Linked DNA regions of Drosophila melanogaster. The protein of the gene in region 1 purifies or fractionates together with the protein of each later gene. This does not show direct contact. Each region holds a gene or a part of one and is shown in the gene's direction. Other genes may lie near its edges. The genes, in order: Dis3, Rrp4, Rrp6 and Rrp42.

Evidence for each region.
Region 2: the proteins of Dis3 (region 1) and Rrp4 purify together in Drosophila melanogaster (affinity purification with western blotting; 3 studies listed by BioGRID, with this or other methods). This does not show direct contact.
Region 3: the proteins of Dis3 (region 1) and Rrp6 purify together in Drosophila melanogaster (affinity purification with western blotting; 3 studies listed by BioGRID, with this or other methods). This does not show direct contact.
Region 4: the proteins of Dis3 (region 1) and Rrp42 purify together in Drosophila melanogaster (affinity purification with western blotting; 3 studies listed by BioGRID, with this or other methods). This does not show direct contact.

What each region holds. Positions count from the first base shown.
Region 1 is NT_033777.3:24,330,989-24,337,904, forward strand, and holds Dis3 (Dis3), read left to right. Parts: upstream 1-2,444; 5' UTR 2,445-2,504; coding exon 2,505-2,884; intron 2,885-2,936; coding exon 2,937-3,381; intron 3,382-3,444; coding exon 3,445-4,523; intron 4,524-4,579; coding exon 4,580-5,248; intron 5,249-5,305; coding exon 5,306-5,681; 3' UTR 5,682-6,045; coding exon of another isoform or gene 6,046-6,082; 3' UTR 6,083-6,260; downstream 6,261-6,916. Other genes in the region: Rrp5 (ribosomal RNA processing 5), read right to left, coding at 1-2,096, 2,153-2,233; CG6432 (uncharacterized protein), read left to right, coding at 6,046-6,082, 6,859-6,916.
Region 2 is NT_033778.4:23,554,215-23,558,170, reverse strand, and holds Rrp4 (Rrp4), read left to right. Parts: upstream 1-1,953; 5' UTR 1,954-2,032; coding exon 2,033-2,479; intron 2,480-2,542; coding exon 2,543-2,992; 3' UTR 2,993-3,153; downstream 3,154-3,956. Other genes in the region: ItgaPS5 (integrin alphaPS5 subunit), read right to left, coding at 1-91, 143-245, 307-1,147, 1,246-1,415; pita, read left to right, coding at 3,755-3,916.
Region 3 is NT_033777.3:14,881,805-14,888,528, reverse strand, and holds Rrp6 (Rrp6), read left to right. Parts: upstream 1-2,282; 5' UTR 2,283-2,586; coding exon 2,587-2,694; intron 2,695-2,768; coding exon 2,769-2,950; intron 2,951-3,062; coding exon 3,063-4,467; intron 4,468-4,705; coding exon 4,706-5,632; intron 5,633-5,724; coding exon 5,725-5,805; 3' UTR 5,806-6,031; downstream 6,032-6,724. Other genes in the region: CG33332 (uncharacterized protein), read right to left, coding at 1-679; CG33331 (uncharacterized protein), read right to left, coding at 919-1,947; CG3631 (uncharacterized protein), read right to left, coding at 6,469-6,676. UniProt on the Drosophila melanogaster protein: Catalytic component of the RNA exosome complex which has 3'->5' exoribonuclease activity and participates in a multitude of cellular RNA processing and degradation events.
Region 4 is NT_033778.4:16,012,825-16,016,872, forward strand, and holds Rrp42 (Rrp42), read left to right. Parts: upstream 1-2,083; 5' UTR 2,084-2,153; coding exon 2,154-2,210; intron 2,211-2,267; coding exon 2,268-2,464; intron 2,465-2,515; coding exon 2,516-2,681; intron 2,682-2,735; coding exon 2,736-3,206; 3' UTR 3,207-3,226; downstream 3,227-4,048. Other genes in the region: CG8389 (uncharacterized protein), read left to right, coding at 1-712; Prosbeta1 (proteasome beta1 subunit), read right to left, coding at 1,067-1,221, 1,290-1,764, 1,828-1,872; EMC7 (ER membrane protein complex subunit 7), read right to left, coding at 3,315-3,440, 3,507-3,635, 3,701-3,847, 3,909-4,048.

The sequences.
Region 1 (6,916 bases):
GGCTTATTGTAGTTGCGAACACACACCATGAGGTCCACCACCTGGTCGGTGGCGTGTTTCACATAAGAGCGTATTATGTCTCCCACTTGAACCGATTGCCAATCCTTGGTGAGCTGGCCACTGAAGTAGGGGACATCTCGTAAGCTGAAGATGTTCTGCATAATGCAGGCCGCATCGGTGTAAGAGCCAGCGGGATGGACCCGCATTTGGGCGTGCAGCAGCTCCAGGTGATCCGACAACAATCGCAGTGGAATTAGGCCCACAAACTCCTCCAGCTTTGGATTCCCATCTTCATCCTCTTCGTCATCTTCGGCGGCGAAGGTGATTTTAACTTCCAGTCCAGCGTCTAAGGCATTGGTTATCTCAACGGGACAGATCTCACCAAGCTGGAACTTGTCCTCCGGCAAAGTCAAAGTGATTTGGTCCTTGTTGCGTGTTAGGATGCGGAACTTAGTTGTTTGTCCCTCGAAAAATGAGCTATTTTCCTTTAGATTCTGCCTGTGCAAAACTCCTTTGATGCCGTTGCCGAACTTCACTAGGACGTAAGTGTCCTCACATCGGACTACTGTGCCCATATAGACGTTTCCAACGTGAGCGGACGCATAATCAGTCAGAATTTTAATTCCCTTGCCCAAATACTCGGCACGATTGCTCACGTAGCAGATTTTTCGCTCGGCATTAACTTCTAGGACGCGGCACTTCAACGACTGACCCACATCGTAGCGGACATTGGGTGCCAGATAGAACTGTTCCAGTATTCCGTTGACCTTGCCGATCCTCACCGACCAGCCCTTGATCTTGTCATCCTTCTTGAATATTTTCGCTGTGACCAGATCGCCGGCATTAATATCCTCCAGGCAGAACAGCTTTTCGTTGACCACGTTGGGATCATCGGAGCAGTAGTACAAGGATTCGATGACATCGTATCCTAGGATGCGAACCTTATGCTTCGTTTTTCTTCCGTATTTGGACAATACTTCGTCCTTGTCATAATTTCCCTTGAAATTGCCTCTGATTGAACCGTATGAGATAATGCCCTTTAGTTTCTTATTAAGAAGCAGTACCACGCCACCGCTGCCCAAGCGCAGAACCTTGGCTTTTTCCACCACGGAACCCACCTTTATGGGCTCTACCTCCTGCTCTTCCTCATCCTGATCTTTTGCTACTGCAGCTCCAGTTTTGATATCCAGATTAAGAGTTAAGTACACTAGTTTGGTTAGGGGCATCACGTAGAGTACCCTGGCATTGTAATCCTCATTCAGCTCGTAGGCATCCAAAGTATCCAAAGCGTTAGCTAGATGATGTTCGTTGACGTAGGCACTAAAGGATTCATTCATGATGCTGCCTTTGAGGCCATCCTTCAGATGCTTGGCCACCTTAAACTTTACAATGCTGCCTGGCAGAATGTAGTCGAGATTCGTCTCGTTTTGACTCTTGATGCGCAGCTGGTCCTGCTCCACCTGGACACAGGTGCAGGTGCTCTGGTGGGTGTCGTGATGAACGGTTTTGACTTTTAGGAAAGCCAACTGCCCCACGTGTAGCTTCTGAGCTGGCTTCTCGCATGGCACGAATGCCTGAAGTCCTTGTACTCCCGACTCGATGACATAGCCGTGCTCCAGAGCCTCCGCCACGGCGCCAGAGAAGATGAAACCCTTCTTAATGCTCTTGTGATGCAGATTACCGTGCACATCGGCCGGCTTGAGGGAAAGGAGCAGGCTAACCCGACCGGTGTCCAGCTTTTCTGTTTTGATGGCCTTGCCGTAGACGATGCGGCCCAACTGGAAGAGCTCGGTAAGGTCGTGGTACTCGCTGGTGTCTCCGGACATGGCCGCCTTGGCCACACGGGTGTAGGCGTCGGATATATCCGCCACCAAGGTGCGGGCGAACATCCGACCGGGCAAAGCGATCTGCAGTGCGGTGGCTGTCAACTCCTTGACCACTCCCATGACCAGCATGTCCTCCTGCAGCGTGTCCATATTGAGCGTTTCCGCGGAGAAGGCCTCCAGTTGGCCATTTTGTTCCTCGGTTTCGTAGCTCAGAAGGTTCTCTTTTACTTTCGGCGCCTTCTTCACCTTCTTCTGCGAGGCACCGAAAACCTGTGGGACAGAAAAGTATGTACAAAGATCTCGGATATTTCGCTGGCTAAACTCACGATATTCAGGCTCACGTCGTCGGTTTTGACTTCGCTGTGGATTGTCCCGCCTCGGGGAAAGCTTTTCTCGTTCGGCACCATCCGGGAGCTGTGTAATTTAGCGTTTTAAATAACAAAATTTGAGCAACGTGCGTTCTACACGTGCTAAGCGCCGATATAGAAAATCAGTTCAATAAATGGTACTAAATTATACCTTAAGATACGGGGCAGTCCGTAGACTCAAACCACTGTGACCATTGCGGCTGCAGTGTGAACAGGCCTTAGGCAGATAATACCGCAGTCGAATCATGCACGGGCCTCCCTATTCCGGCACACATGTGAAGGTGTAACAATTCGAACGCGGTTCAACAAAATGCAAACTTTACGCGAATTTACGCGTAAAACCAAGCGCGGCAACATTCTGAAGATTGTACGGGAGCACTATCTGCGCGACGACATCGGCTGCGGCTCCGAGCTGTGCCGGGAGTGTTTCCAAAACGAGGTATACCAGCTCACCTCGCAGCACGCGAATAAGAGCACCCTCTTCAAATTCCCGCACTATCTCGTTTTGGACACAAATGTGGTTCTGGACCAGATCGACGTGCTGGAGGAGGATGTTTTGCGCAACGTAGTCGTTCTGACCACCGTGCTCAACGAGGTGAAGCACAGGAGCTCCGCCATTTACAAGCGATTCAATGAGATCGTCCACGACCGCACCAGGAACTTCTATGTGTTCGTCAACGAGCACCACAAGTGGGTTAATGGATTTTCTTGGGAAACCTTTATAATATAGTGCTTCTTCTAGGGAAACCTATGCTGATCGCGAACCAGATGAGACCGCCAATGATCGCAATGATCGGGCCATTCGTCTGGCCACCAAGTGGTACGATGATCACCTGCAGGCCTCGCAATCCTCTAAAGAGTTCGAGCGCAGTGGCAAAGCTGCTACGCGAGTTGTTCTGCTCACAGATGATGCTGCCAATCGTGCTAAGGCCGAAGCAGAAGGTATTCTGGTGACCACAGCAGCGGAGTACGTGAAATCTCTCGAGGATTTTCCACTTCTGATGGATAAGCTGTCGCACAAAACATTCGACAGCGAGAAGAATGGTCTGCCCCAGTACCCGCCGCATCTCAGCATGAAGGAGCTGCTGGAAGGACTGCGCCAAAATAAGCTACTACAGGGCACTTTTCAGGCATCCAGGGAAAACTACTTGGAGGGCACCGTCAATGTAGAGAAATTCGAAAAGGGGGTAAGTTAAAACGCTAAATATCTTCCCTGGCATACGCTTCACAATACGATTTCTGTTTAATAGATCCTTATCCAAGGACGCGAGTCTCTTAATCGGGCCGTGGATGGCGACCTGGTGGCCGTGGAGCTTTTGCCCGAGGCGGAGTGGTCAGCACCCAGTGAAATTGTACTGGAGGAGAAGAATGTCTATGCCGATGAAGTGCCCAGCGAGGAAAGGGCCAAGGATGAAAATGAGATGTTGAATCAGGTGCGTGCCGCTGCCTTATCCGCAGAGCGCACGCCCACAGGGCGAATTGTCGGTATTGTGCGACGGAAATGGCGACAGTATTGCGGCATCCTGCAGCCTAGCTTAATAGAGGATACAAATCGGCACATCTTTGTGCCCGCCGACCGTAAGATTCCGCGCATCCGTATCGAAACGCGACAGGCAGCAATGCTGCAGAACCAGCGCATCATCGTAACGATTGACACATGGCCGCGCAACTCGCGCTACCCACATGGACATTTTGTGCGCTCCCTGGGACCGCTCGGAGACATGGCCACCGAGAACGAGGTTATCCTGCTGGAGCACGACGTCCCGCACTGCAAGTTCTCGGACGAAGTGCTTAGCTTCTTGCCGAAAATGCCCTGGACAATTACTGACGAGGACTATTCCAAGCGTGTGGATCTGAGGGATCTGTACATTTGCTCTGTGGATCCCCCGGGCTGCACGGATATCGATGATGCTTTGCACTGCAAGGAACTACCGAACGGCAATCTGGAAGTGGGCGTTCACATAGCCGACGTAAGTCACTTTATTCGTCCAGGAAACGCACTGGACATGGAGGCAGCGGCCAGGGGAACCACCGTGTACTTGGTGGGCAAACGAATCGACATGGTACCCGAGTTACTCAGCTCAAATCTCTGCTCATTGGTTGGCGGTGTTGAGCGATTCGCCTTCTCCTGCGTGTGGGAAGTGGACAATGAAGCAAATGTGTTAAGCAAACGCTTCCACAAGAGCGTCATCAAATCGAAGCGTGCCATGACCTACGAGGAAGCGCAGAATATCATCGACGATGCCACGCAACAGAATGAAATAGCCAAGTCCCTGAGAAATCTTAATCGGTTGGCCAAAATACTGAAAAAGCGACGAATGGATAATGGGTAAGATTATATTAACACCTCGTAATCAAGTGAACTAAGGCATCCATAATTTACAGAGCCCTTGTCCTTGCCTCCCCGGAGATCCGCTTCCAGGTGGACAGCGAGACACACGAACCACTCGAGGTGGAGGTGAAGCAGATGCGCGAGACGAATTCCATGGTGGAGGAGTTCATGTTGCTGGCCAACATCACGGTGGCCGAGCATATCGCAACGGAGTTCTCCGAGTGCGCTGTTCTGCGTCGCCATCCTCGGCCACCGCCTACCAATTTCGATCCGCTGGTAAAGTCTGCGCGCTACCAGGGCTTCCAGGTGGACATCAATTCGGGACTGGAGCTGTCGCATTCACTGGACAAGTGTGTCAAGGCGGATAATCCGTACTTTAACACAATGATCCGCATCCTCACCACACGCTGTATGATGCAGGCAGTGTACTTCATCAGCGGCAGTCTGCAGAAGGAGGAGTTCTTCCACTACGGTCTGGCTGCTCCCATCTACACGCACTTTACGTCGCCCATTCGTCGTTACTCCGACATTATGGTACATCGCCTGCTGGCCGCCTCAATCGGCGCGGATAGCACCTATGCCCAGCTATTGGACCGAAAGTCAAATGAGGAGCTGTGTCATAATCTTAACTACCGCCACAAAATGGCTCAGTACGCTGGTCGCGCATCAGTGGCCCTCAACACGCATCTCTTTTTCCGCGGCAAGGAGGAGGATGAGGAAGGGTGAGTCGAAGAAACCACTAGTGGGCAACATTCTTTTCAATTATTACCCATCCCTAGATATGTGCTATTTGTGCGCAAGAATGCTCTGCAAGTGCTAATCCCCAAGTATGGCCTGGAAGGCACTTTGTATCTAAAGTCGGACAAGGATGGCAAGGACGGTGTGGAGCGCGTCAAGAGCGAGATTGTCTTCACCTTCAACGAAGAGGATCATACACAGCGTTGCGGTGACGTGGTGTTCCACTCCTTTGATCCAGTCACGGTTCGTCTTAGCCTGGATTCCAGCAATGTGCAGCACGAGAAGCTGATCTTCCGGCTGGTCAAGCCGTACATCAAGGGCTTCAGCGTGGAAACGACCACCGAAGGAACTGATAGCCAAGCGGTTTCTGCGGCACCTCCATCGAAAAAGACAAAGAAGGATAAGAAAAAGAAGTAATTCTTTGGATCTTTGCTTATGTGGAACTAGACTACGCTGAAGATGTGTAACTACAATCATTTCGTATAAATAAAATGTAAGGTTTTTAAATTCCGCTCCGTTTCGTAAACCTTTTCCACCGTTCCGGCTCTGCCGATCTCGGAGAGTTTCGAAAGCATACCTTTGATCGGGTGTTTTGTTTAAGGTTTTGGTTTCCAACTTGCGTTCTACATTCTCCAGACCCATTGCAAAGTTTCGACTACAGTGCGACGGTTGTGCTGAGCTCGTTTGATCCAAAAAATTCAAAAAGAATATATATAATAAATACATATATACATTAACTTGACTTGAATATATACAAGAACGGAAGTTATACAAAGTTACAATGGAACCCGGTCCTAGTGCAGTGAACTACGAAGGCAGTAAGTCGAAAAAGGTTTCGAAATTCATATGAAAAGGCTAAAAAATTTAATCAATGAGTAATCGCGTGATTTTTGCGGAACATATATTTATATCGGTACACATATTTTAATACGCATATTGAAAACATCAGTTAAAATAAACAACTTTTAGAACATCAAATAAAGTGCTTGGAAAACTAATATGCCAACTTTCGTTGTGATCTAAATGAATTCTATAGATTTTCGAATTTTCCAAAAACTATCTAAGTGGAGTCCAACTTTTTACAATATTCTTGGATTCTTGCAGTGCGATGTAGATAGATAGATAATTTATGCACAAGAGTTCAAGGTGATAAATATTGTGTTTTAAACCACTGCTCGCCAATTAAAATAATGAACTTTCGATGCGACTTTGAAGTGATTAATTAGTGTTTAGTTGTGCGCCCAAACTGTCGGCACTAAATATTAATGAATTCGATTAGCTTATTCAACAAGGAGGCTTTTAGGTCCAATATCCATCGCCAATCACGTGTGGATTATGCTCGGCGTCTGGGTGAGCCGCACACCCGACGCATATGTGCAGTACATGGGTGCCAGGTTGGGTATATAGAAATCAGTTGAGTGACCGCGACATTTGGAAAATTTAAAATTCAATGTGCCTGGTGTGTGTAAGGTGGTATGGAGTGGAAGGTTTGTAATTTAGTTTGATAGCCTAATTAAAAGCAGCGATTAACCCAATAGAGGAAACAATGAACCCGCCCATCTAATGGTCACCTGCTGCTATACCTTTTCCGCAGGTGAATCTGTATGCGGCATGCCGGTGGAGGCTCACGATCCTCTCTACTTGAAGGCCTA
Region 2 (3,956 bases), on another chromosome or scaffold:
CGCTGGCTCGGCTCATCCCGCAATCCGTGCTCGCTGCCCAGGAAAATGAATACCGCTCCGTTTCCCGCGAAGGGCGCTCCAACGGCCAAGTCTACATGTGAACTAATGAGATACTATATCGAATACCCAGAGGATTACTCACCGTTGTATCCGTCGTGGTTGATATCGCCCACTTTAGAAAGCGAACTTCCGAAACGGGCACCACTGCTCAATGGCAAGCGAATTATCTTTTTCTCGAATTTAAACTGAAGCGGGAAATAGAAGCAGTCTGACTAATGGCGATTATAGGGAATTCGGTTAACTCACCAATCCCTTGTTGATGAACACGTATATGGCACCCACGTCATAGGAATCCCCTAGAGCGTTGAGTGGCGCGGATACGACCACATCCGTTAGTCCATCGCCATTGAGATCTTCCGCCACCACGGAGTAACCGAAGTACTCGCCCAACTGCTCGCCGTGAAACACATGCAGCTTACGGACTATCTCTCCCACAACGTCGAAAATGTATGCCTTGCCGGTATTCAGGACAGAGCTCGGCGCGGTGGTCACGTAGAGCAGACTGGTCCGGTTATTGCTGCTAAAGTATCCGGAGCTCAGGGCGTAACCGACGTATGTGAAGTGATTCTTTACCCAATCCCACGAATCGAGCATCTTGACTGCATAGCTTCCCTGGGCAGCCAAATCTTCTCCGCGGTGCACTAACACCGATCCCTTCCAGCTACGGACTCCCGGGGCGCCGATCAGGAACCCCGAGTTGTCGTCCGTCACATGGGCACTGAGCCCCAGCTCCAGCATGAAATGTTCTTCTGCTTGCGAAGGGATTAGACTGATAGTCCTCACGTCGCTCAGCGGAGGAGTGTCTGCCACTGTGTCCCGAACCCAGTAGCAAATTCCTCTCATTTGGCCATAGTTCTTGTTCTTCGGCACGAAAAACCGAGGTGCGCACACGAGCAGCTTGTCCGTATCCTTGGTGCCGCCATCCATAGAGCCGCCCAGCCACTGGAATTGCTTATTTAGCTTGTCGTTTAGGACGTAATGCGAGCAGGATCCACTGGCCAGGGGGCATCTGTAGACAGCTCCAGTCTCATTAATGCTGCCTTGCGATTCCAAGGTGGACTGAGCACGCGGAGCTCCCACGAAGATGCTGCATTGATCACGAAGTTTTTTGTTAGAAGGAACTTCATGGAATTTCAAGTGCAATCACAGTCTGGGATCGATAGCTTCCCTAGGATAAGATCTCACCTGGTTGGACGGATGACGAGCGAGTATCCAAAGTAGGAGCTTCGCACTTGGATCATTCGGGTTTTTAGGTGCTTTGGAGCATCTATCACTCGATTCGGCAATGGCGAAAAGTTCATTGCATTGCTCTGGTATTTGAGAGCCAAAAAAATTAGGAACAGAAGCCGATGCATTTTCTACTTCAAGTTTTTAGTCTTATTCTAGAAAATATTATTCCGGATGGGAATGTGCCTGCGAGCTCTGAGGCAATCCAACTGAAACAAGATGATGAATGTTTCAGAAGTCTAATGGAGCTTAGCTAACTTAAAGAAGACAGATAACTTATCATTGAAATGCCAGAGCAATTATTTCAAAGCTGTTCTTTAAAATTATAATTTGTATGCTGCTTATCTAAGGACAAACTCAAAAATGCTTTCGACATATATATTATACACATTAACAATAAATGTTATTTCATAAAACTAAGGAAACTAAAAACGTGATTTTAACAGTTTTTTTTAATCCCCTTTACTTTTATTTTATTTCGATTGTATGTATTTTTTGTTAGGCAATAGAATTTGCAAGTCTTCGTTACATTTACTTTCGAATTTCAACAAAATTGGTTTTTAAAATTGCAATTCGCCGCAACCGATAGGCACTGTAGTTGCGGCGAAGAAATGGAACTTGAACCGGAACCAGCAACGAACCCCGAACCCGAACCGGTTCCGCGTGGCGCGTGTTTTGCCAGCTGTTGCTCTTTTTGCCTCGCTCAAAATTAAATTTTTGTTTACCTCGCTTTGGCCAAACTGAGATGTCCACCAACGCGGCGATAGATCTGGCCCTGGACCGGGTGGACTGGCGCGACCTGGCCGCGCAGACGGAGGAACAGCCGAGGGTGTATACGCCGGGGGAAGTGCTGATGCCGGAGGCGGGATTCATGCGCGGCCACGGAACCTTCGTCGAGGACGAGAACATCAAGTCCTCGGTGGCCGGGGTGATCCAGAAGGTCAACAAGCTGATCTCGGTGCGCCCGCTTAAGAGTCGCTATGTGGGCGAGATCGGGGACGTGGTGGTGGCCCGCGTCAGCGAGGTGCAACAGAAGCGCTGGCGAGTGGACACCAATTCCCGGCTCGACTCCATCCTACTGCTCTCCTCGGTGAATCTGCCAGGCGGAGAACTACGACGGAGATCGGCGGAGGACGAGCAGATGATGCGACGATACTTGGACGAGGGCGATCTCATCTCTGCCGAGGTCCAGGTGGGTACTTCCTAACTTGCTGGTACTGGAGTAACTATATAATCTTTCTTCTCTGGCCACCAGAACATCTTTGAGGAGGGCTCCCTTTCGCTGTACACGCGCAGTTTGAAGTATGGAAAACTATCGCAGGGCATCCTGGTCAAGGTGTTCCCCGCTCTCGTCAAGCGCCGCAAGATGCACTTCCACAACCTGCCCTGCGGCGCCTCCGTGATCCTGGGCAACAATGGCTACATCTGGATATCGCCGACCAAGGGCCAGGAGGAGGAAGGCGGCGAGGGAGGATTCGCTCAGAACCTGAACGAGCATGTGCCGCGCGCGGATCGGGAGGTGATCGCCCGGCTGAGGAACTCCATCCTCGCGCTGGCCAAGTGCAAGCTGATGATTTACGACACCAGCATCCAGTACGCCTACGAGGAGTCCCTGCGCTACGAGGCCCACGAGCTGCTCCAGCAGAACGCCATCTACGACATCGGCCAGCAGACGCAGGCTCGTCTGAGGGACGCGGACGAGTAGTATATATGCATATACATATATTTTATACACAAGTAGCTTAAATAGAGGTTAATGTATTTTCTACCGTCAAATGAAAAATTAACATTTCAATGGGTTCGAAATTGGTGGATTTCAAAATTGCATCAGTGGGCTAAAATCTTAAATACACTGAAAACTATCGCAAGCTTTCTGTTTAATAAAAATGTTCATTTGATATTTCCTGAATTTGTATGATAAATGTTGGTTTCCTAATAAAAAGTCAGGTTTTCTAAAATACACAAACTCTTTAAAAAAGAAAACATTTATTGCATATAAGTTAGGTTTTATTGGCGTTTAAAAAATACATACATTTTCATAGCACTTTAGTTTTAGTTAAAAGTTTCGACTTAAAATTACTTTTAGTTAAAAAGCAGCTAAAATATCGATATTTTACCAGGACGCGCACCGAGTGGCAGCACACATTAGCGATCCGGCAACGCCCTGGCGGTTTGTGCAAATGAAAAGTGATTCTGCCTGGATGATAAAGGGACTCGGCATAAATTTTTTATTTTTATGTCATCCCATATTAGTGTGACGTTGTATTTGTGACAAATACTTGATTGTGTAAAATAAAAACAAAAAGTTTCGCTAGCAAAATTCACACAGAAACATCGATATCTGCATAGTGCACATCTCTAAGCGACGCCAAGCGATTGTTTTCCTCTCATTTGTAATCTGTACGCACTTTGCAAGTGAAATTCCGCGTTTCTACCGCCGCCCGGAACGAATTACCGCCAATTGCCGATGGCCGCGAAACTGGAGGTGCGCGAGGCCATGCTGACCGAGAAGAGGGTCTGCCGCTTCTGTCTGACCGAGCAGAAGCTGGCCTCGATTTTCGAGGAGAATCCGCGGGTGAAAACAACCGCCAATCTGCCGCTGCAGATTATGGCCATCACGGCGATCGAGGTAAGCGGCTCCATCCATGGGTTCTGGCTTGCACTAACCA
Region 3 (6,724 bases), 9.4 Mb from region 1:
TCTTCGTCCAGGATGATCGATCGCTAAAGTCGGGTCGCTCTTTTCCCTGATAGAAAGTGCGCTTCATATTGCTCAGGGCGGCAAGGCCGCTCTTCAGTCCCACATCTGGCAGCTCAAGCATCCACTCTTCGCGGACATCTTGGTCTGTAGATGTACCCAATCCCCCGCCCTCCAGAGCTGCCAGTTTAAGTGCCAAAGCACGTTCCTCCAGAGCCACTTGACTGGCATTTGGCAGAGGACCAAAGGTGCCAGCTAGGTCATCATCGTCCTCAGCTTCCGCTTCCTTAGTAGGAGACTTTTCCCGGGTCAAATTGCTGGGCAGGACGGGTCCTATCATGGCCTGCGGTTGTGGGGCTGGTTGGCTTTGCTCAGGGAGTTCCGGCTGCTGGGTCTTCCTTAAATGCGGCGGTAAAGCGGGACCAAAGGAATCTTCGTTGTTTGTAGCCACATCTGGCGGAGATGCATTAATTAAATGTGGAGGTTGCGTGTAAGGCACAGGTGGCTCCTCCTCATGCTTGCTGCGTTTCTTCTCCTTGTGGCGACGCTTTTCTTTCTTGTGCTTTTTCGACTTCTTCTTTTTGGACTTGTCCACATCTTTGCTGTGCTTCTTAAGCTTCCGTTTCCTTTGCCTTTCATCGCTGGACGAATTGCTATCACTACTATTGTCGTCGCTGGACATGATCTGCAAATACAATTAATGAAATAATAAGTAAACCAAGATATTCCTGAGGTTATAAAGAGGTCCATTGGATGTGAAAAGAGAGAATCCCCAAGAAAACTCAGGTCTTTGGATTGGGCTAAACATTATATTGCAGTTAACAACTTTAAAGCTTAAAAGTATTTAACAAAATGCAGCTGGATGGGACAACTTAGTCGGTAGAATGATTGGCAGCCAGGGGATTAACCCGAAAAATAAACCTAAACAGCGAATGTCTTTTGAGCCTTGCGATAGCTATACGCCAATGACTTGAGAATGCCAGCACTGGGAATATTTTTGATCGATTGCGTGACACTGCTGCGCCACACAATGTCGTTGACGGATGCCTGCAGCACCTCCGGAAGCTGGGAGGCCATGGATAGGTGATTCACCACCTGGGTGTAGTCGCCACGACAGGCGGCATTTCGCTGCAATCGCTTCTGAAGCTCTCGGGGCAACTGTCGCAGGTGTTGGCATGTAGCCGATGAGGATTTGTCCTGCTCGAAGATTATGGCTGGTTTCCGGCTCCCTGGTTCCTGGCCCTTCATGTTTACCGCCACATAGTCGGAAAGTTGTCCCAGGGAGGGTTGGTATAGGGCGAAGAAGTCATTGATTTGCGGACTAACTATGTTGTGCACTTTCTGTTTGTTTTCCCCGAAAATCATACGGAAATCGCCCTTGTAACTCAGTCCGGCGATGGTGTGGAAAAGTCCGTAGGCAGTGAACTTCTCTGGTAAAAGTAGCAGAGCCACTTGCAGCGCGGATACAAGATTCCTCTCCAGCGCAGCCTTGAGGGGAGGATTATCAGAAGGATTGACCAGATTCGTCACTGGTTTGTGCAGCCTTCCTGCCAAGTAAAGATGCCGCCAGTCAAGCAGATCCTCCAGCAGCTCCTCCTGCGACACCACGCCGTACTTTATGGTAATGCCCACATCTGGCAGAGGCACCAACGTGTTGCAATAGACACCCGCACCCAAACGCTCCTGATACTTGGCCACAAAGTTCGGTCCCAGGTGCCTAAGGGCGGAATAGTGGTCCGGATGACGGTGCAGGTTCTCCGCATGGAAGCCCCTAGCATCACGAACGCAAAAGACCAGATCCACAACGGTTCCCGGCGGAGGACGCAGGTTGTTTCCATTGCCGACTTTTCCATAGCCTTCCTGCTGTTTGACGCCGGATCCGTAGGCGAACATATAGCTGACACTGCCCAGAGGAAACCGCGCCACCGTGCGTCTGTATAGGTCCAGCATCTTGTGCGTGTTTTACCTCCTAATTGGACTAAACTTAGGCTTTATAATTACTTTTTTTTTAGCACGTAACTCCACTTCTTCTGGATGGAGTTGATGCTTCTCGGTCAAGCTCCTCGCTTTTCGCCGGCGCCGGAGGGGTGTACACACTGGCAATCAGCTGGCTGAAAATTTTGTTCAGGGTTTCACTTGAACAATTTAGCGCCCTCTTGAAAAAATAAAAGAAAAGACCAAATATTTAACAAAGAAAATATTTATTCAGTTTAATTTATATTGAAAGGAATATATATTTAGTTCAATATAATAATAACATTTTGCTTTTAAAAAGAATTTGTAAAGTATTGTTCATCAAAGCAGGTTCTGTTTACGGTTTAACATAACGAAATATCACCATTCCAAATTTGGCTAACATTTGTAAAATACACCTTCATATCGATTTAATTCGATTGCGGTCAGCACCGTTTTAGTGCTATATAGTGATCAAATTTCGCCGCCGGTAGTGTTGACAAACTCCAAATTCAAGCTGTTGTTATTCTCAAAAAAGAAGAAGAGAAAACACGCACATTTTCCACAATCTGTAAAACGACAAAAAATTTGTACGAAAATAACACAAGACATTCGACAAGGAAACACTATACAGACATGCCGCGAACCCCGAAAAGAGTTCACCAGGAGGCCAAAGAGGAATCGGCCCAAGCAGACCAGCCGCCAAAGAAATCCGCTTCAGAAGATGTTGAGGCATTCACAAACGTGGGTAGCAATTCAGCCAGCGTACATAAGTATATTTCAATCCAATCCCTACGTGTTCTGCTCTGACATTCCAGAAAGGGTTCAAGAATGCAATCGCCGCCACAAAAGCCGCTAATGCTTTCCCACAAGGAACAGCCCGCGCCCTTTACCTAAGCTATCCAGGCTACGCACGTGTTATGGAAGACCTGACCCAACGGGTGGTGGCGCTCATCGGGAACGTGCTGCACTCCAAGGACATCAAGGGCGACATCAAAAAGTAAGCTTCTAACCATGACATTATTCGAAATGTTGAAAATACAGCACAGCCATTGAAATCAAAGTTGGTACCTGTATCTGTAAATAACAATAGATCTTTATTCTTTAAACAGACGCCAACCGGAAGAGCAGTTTGAGATGGTGCAGGAGTGCAACGACGTACTGTTCGAGCGCATTACGACTAATCTAGACATTAAAGGTGGTCTGCGAAGAAATACACAACAGGTCGTAGAGGCCCAGGTGGACGTGATGAGCAGCTCCACATCCATAGAGCCCGCAGTAGCTTCCCCACAAACCCAAGGGACTCCAAAGGCAGGCAGCTGGAACAGAACGACAGGAACACCCCAACGCAGCATGGTTTCGGCTCGTCTCTTCACCGCCAAGAACATCGTTCGGCCGCAGACGCAATTTAGGGAGCCGGTGGATAACAGTGCCCAGAATCCGTTTGTTCCAAGACTCAAGGAGAAACCTAATTCTCTTAAACCGCTGGCCCTGCTGCCCGAATACGATGATGCCGGCAATGTCCAATCCTATTTGCATCCCTACGAGTTTGAGCTGCTTAAGTTTCAGCCTCCGGAGGAGCAGTTCCAAAAACAAAAGCCAGTGCTTCCAGCTCTGATGGCAGAAACCGAACTAATGGTGGTTGACACGGTGGAAAAACTGAAGCAGGCATTGGAGGAACTGAGACAAGCGCCCCAGATCGCCATAGATGTGGAGCACCACTCGTATCGCACCTTCATGGGCATCACTTGCCTGGTCCAGATGTCTACTCGCAGCAAAGACTATATTTTTGATACCCTGATCCTACGCGATGATATGCATATACTAAATTTGGTACTCACCGATCCCAAGAAGCTGAAGATACTGCACGGCGCCGATTTGGATATTGAGTGGCTTCAGCGGGACTTATCGTTGTATATCGTCAACATGTTCGACACGCATCGGGCTGCCAAAGCCTTGAATATGGCAAGGTTATCGTTGGCATATTTGCTTAAGCACTATCTGGACTTGGATGTGGACAAGAGCCTGCAACTGGCCGATTGGCGGATGAGACCGCTTCCCCAGCAGCTGGTGGACTACGCTCGTCAGGATACCCACTTTTTGATATACGTTTACGGACGGATGACAAACGATCTGCTGCAGCAGCATGCCGAACCAGGTCTGCTGGGCAGTGTCTATCAACAGAGCACGGATGTCTGCAAGAAGCGTTATAATAAGCCTCACATCGGACCAGAATCCCATTTGGATTTAGTAAGAAAAACGAAGCGCTCTTTCGACAACCGGCAACTGTACGCACTTCGCGGAATCTTCGAGTGGCGCGATGCGACGGCGCGGTCAGAGGACGAGAGTTACGGCTATGTGCTGCCCAATCACATGATGCTGCAAATCGCTGAGAGTCTTCCAAGGGAGATGCAGGGAATCCTCGCCTGCTGCAATCCCATTCCGCCGCTGGTGCGCCAACAGCTGCACACGCTTCACCAGATTGTCCTCAAGGCGCGCGATCAGCCGCTGGTCAAAGTGAGTTTCTTGGCGGTTTCAAGCAGCGCTTGCAACTCGATCAACGTTGGCGCCTATACCGATAATTTTTCATTACCAATTAACTGTAACTAACATTGAAATGAAGAACATGTTCTGAATTCACCTTATAGTTCAATTCATTTCACAACCGCAGGTCAACTAAAATAGGTTTAATGTTACCAAGTGTTGGGGTGGTATATCTAATGTTTAATGTTCTTGACTTTACTTACGATTTTAGCCGATCCTGGAAGCCCACAGTAGTACACAGGCAGCGTTGCCTCCGTCGACCAAAGACTTTAGCAGCAAGCTCTACTGTCCGCACGATTTTTCGCAACTGGAGGAGATTCGCGACGACCTGCCAACGCTGTTGAAACGTAATTCAACTACAGGAAAACTGGAGGTGCCCAATAAGGAGGAGGTTGCCAAAGTAGATCCAACCTTAGCGGCACCAGCCATGGCTCTGTTCGAAAAGCAGTCCAAGCCGACACAAGAAGAGGAACAGCGCTGGGCCCATCTTCGCAAGGAGAGCCAGACAATGCGTATGCCCTACAAACGCTATCTCGCCATCCTACCTCTGATGGTGCAGCTGAAGGCCGATCAGTTGGCCAGGGAGCGAAGTGAGTTGCAAAAGAGGCAATTGTGTCCAGCAGCCCCAACTGTGGAGCAAAACATTAAGCTGGAGGCACACGCCATCGGAAAGGAGGATGATGACATGTACTCCGTCCCGCTGAAGGAACAACTGAAGCGCAAGCACCCACAAGCGAACGTGAAAACAGATCCGGAACAGCAGCCGACTGCTAGCAAGCGACCTCGCAAGGACGAGAATTCACAAACCAAACCGCCGGTAAAGATCGAACCAGTCGAAAAAGTTCAGCAGGCTTTAGGCGAAAGCGATGATGAGGTCGTTGAGGTTCCTATCGAAAGGCAAGCCACAGAGCCACCGAAACCATCACCGGCACAGAACAACCGCAAGCAAAAGAAAAATCAGTTCCAGCGCGGATTCAAGGCCAAGAATCGAGGAAACCACCCGCAGAGCTCCAGTCAGCAGGTTCCGCAGCACAAGGGTACAGGCAACTTTGACTACAAGAACGTGGACTTCCGGCAATTCAAGGGAGGAGCGCAAAGAGCCCGGGGCACAGAAATCAAGCAGCAAATTCGCGGCAAGGTGAGTGCTATGAAAAGTATTAACAAGCTGGCTTAGCTTTTACTGAAACGATCTCTTCACTAAACATTTATAACGCTTGTTTTTTTTTTTAGAACCGTCCCAACAATCGGAACAACAAGCAGTTCAACAAGCTTTTTACATTTAGTAATGTAAGAAAAGAGGGCAAAAAATGAACTGCAATCGTGACGAAGTCTGTAAAATATACATAACTGGTATATATGTGAATTCAATAGTAAGAATGCGAGCAACACGAAAACTGATTGATGAAACTGATGAAGAAATAAACAAGTGTTTATTTTTGATTGTTTATAAATTCTTTTCAAGTTACAAAACTATTTTTTCTGAGCTTTGCAATTTTCTAAAATATTACCTATTAAATAACAACCGTAACTATTCATTAAACTAGACTATCGGATATGTTGTTATGGATCGGTTTGTAGTTCAATATTTAAGAACAGTTTTAAGAGATGGTCATTGAAAAAATATGGGAAAACCAAATAATAATTGGGACGTGGGAAATGTCATGGTAATAGGTTTAAATTTCAAACTTATTTCGTCACAACGAATTTTGTATGATTTAATTCCTAATTGGATGGCATCTCAATTTTTCGAAAACTTTTCTAGCATTCAAACCAATACAAGAAAGGACAAAAGAACTTAATTTAAAATAGGAAAAAACCTGTTTCGGGCATTTAAATATTTGGAAGAAATACAGAAGTAAAACATGGACTAAAATAATACGATAATTTCTCTATCTAACTTTAGCTTAAGTAGGATGTGGAAAGTGAGTTCCTAAAGCTCTAGTGCTGGCCATTAGCCCCAATCTTGAGCTGAAACTACAGAGTTTTGAACATTTTGTCGCCCTCGATGTCCATGCAGTGCTCCACAACAGCATAGACCACCAGAAGTCGTCGCTCCACTCCTTTTTTATGCTTATCCGTAATCAGGGGATAGAGAGCATCCTGCTTGGATAGTCGATCGATGATTTCCGTGAGTACGCCGCCGGAAAAGACTTGCAGGCGATCCCACGTGGACTTTCGCAGACTGTAAGGTATAAACGTAAATAGTTATAGGTATTTGGAAATTGGTCGA
Region 4 (4,048 bases), on another chromosome or scaffold:
CCCGCCAAATGTGGATACTCTGTGCAGCCGAATGGGACAGCGGTTGGTACAGGCAATGGATCTGGAGCTGCTCAAAGATTTAGTATTCTGGAGCATCATTGTGGGCATGGCTCTAGTCTATACGGCCACCATAAACTTCACGATGATCTTTCCTGGTTTTCTTGGACAAACGGCACAACTTAACAGCCAAATGGTGGCCTTCTGCATGTCCCTTGTGGCTGGCGCCGACATTGTGTTCCGTTTGCTGCTGCCCATCGTCACAGATCACCTTAGAATACCCTATCGCGTAGTGTTCCTGATCGGCATTGTTGGACTCTTTGTCGCTCGCTGTGTGCTTGCCGAGAATCAAACGCTGCCCGTGATCATCACCATGTCTGTGTTGACAGGCATGATGAAATCAGCCACTGTAATCAACAACAATCTCACCATATCGGCGCATTGCCGCTCGGAAAAACTGGCCGGCGGTCTGGGTCTGAGCATGATGTCCAAGGGCGTTATTGTTATCACAGTGGGCCAGCTGCTGGGATGGGTGCGAGACTACGCCGACTCCTACCTAATCTGCCTTTATGCTCAAGGAGTCATTCTGCTGGTGGTGGTTCTTGTTTGGACACCGGAGATATTGTACCGCCACCGCAGGCAGCGATGTGCCACCAACAAGTCCATGGAGACGCAGTCTATAGACGCAGCTGAAGTGGCCAAACTCAACTCCTAAATCTCTGGTCACTACCTGACTGGATAAGAGTTTAAGCGAAGGATATCGGTATTGACTGTCATGTGATAGGCGATGAAATGACTTCCCCGTAGGGAACATTCCACTCTCGCCGCAGTAGTTATCTGAGTTGTGAGGAAGGACCAGTGTCAGGAACAGCACTATCTGTATGACTATGCATCTTAGGTTTAGGTTTTCGATTATTTATTACCATTTTAGCCCCTAGACCTAACTTTTGTACTGCCATAAGAGCCAAAATACAAATTAAAGTATGCATATTACAAAAACCAGGTTTATTAGCATGAGACGAGTTTGCAACTCTTTCTCTGATCGATCTTACTTGGGTAGGTATACTATTTATTCCGAGGAAATGAAGCTGGGAGTGCTGGAAACAGCCGATGCGCCCGATTCTGTGTTGTAGAAGATGCGTCGCTCGATGCCATCCTTGGTGATGATGCCAATGCGCACCACACCACCGGAGCTGCCATCGTGGTAGATAGCGTGCTGGACAGCTGTTGGAGGAGGTTTAAATGGGATTCGATTGAAGGGAAACTGTTTTGGTTTTTTTGGGATTACCTACCCTTCTTGACGAATGTAACGCAATCCTCCAGCGCCATATTGGGGCGGTAGTGCTCCCTAACAAATCCGTAGATAAAACTAGATCCCGATCCGCCGATGGTGCAGGACTCGCGGGTCAGCATGCCGCCCAACGGGATGCTGTACACCTGGCCGCCGCGCTGCTCATCCCACCCAGCCACAATGATGCCGGCAAGCAGGGACTCGCGGTAGCTGTAGCAGTAATTACGGAACTCTGAGGCGGCCTCGAACACCAGAGCATCCTTGTTGGTCTGATTCTCGTGATAGTTCAGCGAGTAGGCCACAATGTCGGCAATGGCCTGGGTGTCGGCGGCCGAGCCACTGCGGCAGCAGTACACTTTGTCCGTGATGCGGGTCAGCTTGTCGGTGACCCGATTGGCAACATAGGCGCCCGAGCTGGTGCGCGAATCGGCTCCAATGACCACTCCGCCATCGAACTCCACTGCCATAATGGTGGTCTGCAAATAGGTAGGATTGTGCTCTTAGTACGAAGTTATGTGGCTGATGCTCTTCATACTTACACCAGTGCTGACCGGTGTGTCGGTGAAATCAAAGTCGGGCTGCATATTGATCTTTAAATTTGTTACAATTCAATTTACAATTGATATTTGTTGAAACGCCGCACGAACACGAAATGACTGGCTTGTTTTGGATAAGTGTTACCAGATGGCGATGTGAAATGAAATGCTTCAAATGAAAACATACACCTTTCGCACTGACAACAGTTCAGTAAAGTAAAAACGAAGTGCCAGCAGCCCTGCTTTGCGGTATATCGATAGTATCGATGTGGGTTCATTGCACATGTTGAATTTGTTTTGAATATTTGTTTTCTTGAATTAAGTCTAAAATGGCATACGTTGCACTGAGCGAAGCTGAAAAAACATATATTCTACACGGCGTGGAGGTGTGTTAAACGGTTATGCAAGAAATATAGTCTGTACCTTAAACTATGCGTTTCCAGGATGACTTTCGTTGCGATGGACGTTCACGACGAGATTACCGGCCCATGGACCTGGAAACTGGACTGGTTAGCAATGCCAGTGGATCCGCTCGCCTTCGGCTGGCGAACACAGACATACTGGTGGGCGTCAAAACCGAGATTGATGTACCCAACCCGCTGACGCCCGAGTTTGGTAAACTGGAATTTTTTGTGGATTGGTAATGATGCAACTGAAGTTCGAAGAATATGCCATAACATATATATTTCAGCTCTGCTAATGCCACGCCGGAGTTTGAAGGACGCGGGGGCTCGGATCTGGCCCAAGAACTTATTCTCTCCCTGCAGAACGCCTACGAATCGCCATTGGCCTTCAACTACCGCACGTTGTGCCTCATTCCGGGTCAGCAGTGCTGGAAGCTGTACATAGACATCCTGGTTAGACTCTAGTGTGCTTAATTATACCGAAAATGCTAATCCCTGTTCTCGCAGATTCTGGAGTGTGGCGGCAATCTACACGACGCAGTGTCGCTGGCCGCCAAAGCGGCTCTGTTCAACACAAAGCTGCCCCGGGTGACAGCCACCATGTTGGATGCCGGCATCACAGACCTCATCATATCGGACAATCCGTATGACTGCACCCGCATCGGCATCGAGACGGTTCCGCTGTTGGTCACAGTTTGCAAGATCGGTGATTATGTCCTGGTGGATCCTTCGGCGGAGGAGGAAGTCTGCAGCACAGTGAGCATGGTTGTGTCAGTTTCCATGCGGAATGGACAGGCATTCCTTTCGGGTACACACTTGACCGGCGGCGGAGCCATGCACCGGGACACCATGCGCAACTGTCTGGAGCTGGGTCTGGCCATTGGCGAGCATCTGGACCGGCTGCTCACTAAAATGCTAAATCTGGAGCAGCAGCGCGTCGGACTCAAGCGACCGCAAATAGTAGGATTTCTTAAATAAAGCGGCAAAGTCTTGTAATGAAAATTTACTATTTAAACGATCTGACTCTGACTTGGAGCTCGGCGCTCCGATTAAGCTTAATACTAAAAGCTATCTGGTGGCCAACTACTACTGGTCCTTGCGCTTCTTCGCCTGCCTGACGGCCGGAGCAGGCTTCTTCTCCTTGGGCTCGGGCTGCTTGCCCGTTAGCAGTGAAGTCAGCATTTCGCTGATCTCGGGCATATCGTTGCCCATCTGTGGAGCAGAGCATGATTCATATAATACTATAGTGCTGTGCTATACATGATCCTCACGGCTTACCTTTGGGAACTGCAGATTGTCGATCTCCTTCTTTGTCTCGGGATCGTTGATCATCTTGGGCAGCACCAGCATAAGGAGCAGAGGCAAGACCATCATTAGGACCATGGGGCTGAACAAGAAGTCGGTGATCTGTGTGGGTCAAGAGCAAAAGTTAGTTTTGTGATTCTTCCGTTGGTGGCAATATAATGATGCACCTTCCACTGCTCTCTGGTCTGGAAGTATTTAAAGGGCATCAGTGGCTTCACGCGCAGGGGATATGCCACCTGCATAATTTGGGCGGGCTGCACAAAGTTCACTTTGCGGGCGCGGAACTTGCCCTTGGGATTGATCTCGACGCGCACCTGCAATTGAAGAAATTTTTAGTGATTCTGGCATCATATTGAATGGATTCCCTTAACTGACCGGCTCATAGAAAACATCCGGGTGGTGGACATCCAGGATATAGCTGCCGGATGGCACTCCGCTGATCATGAACTGCCCATCCTCGCGGACGAATCCCTTAAATTCGCCGTCGTTGATGGAGAGCGTAATCTCTGTGTGCC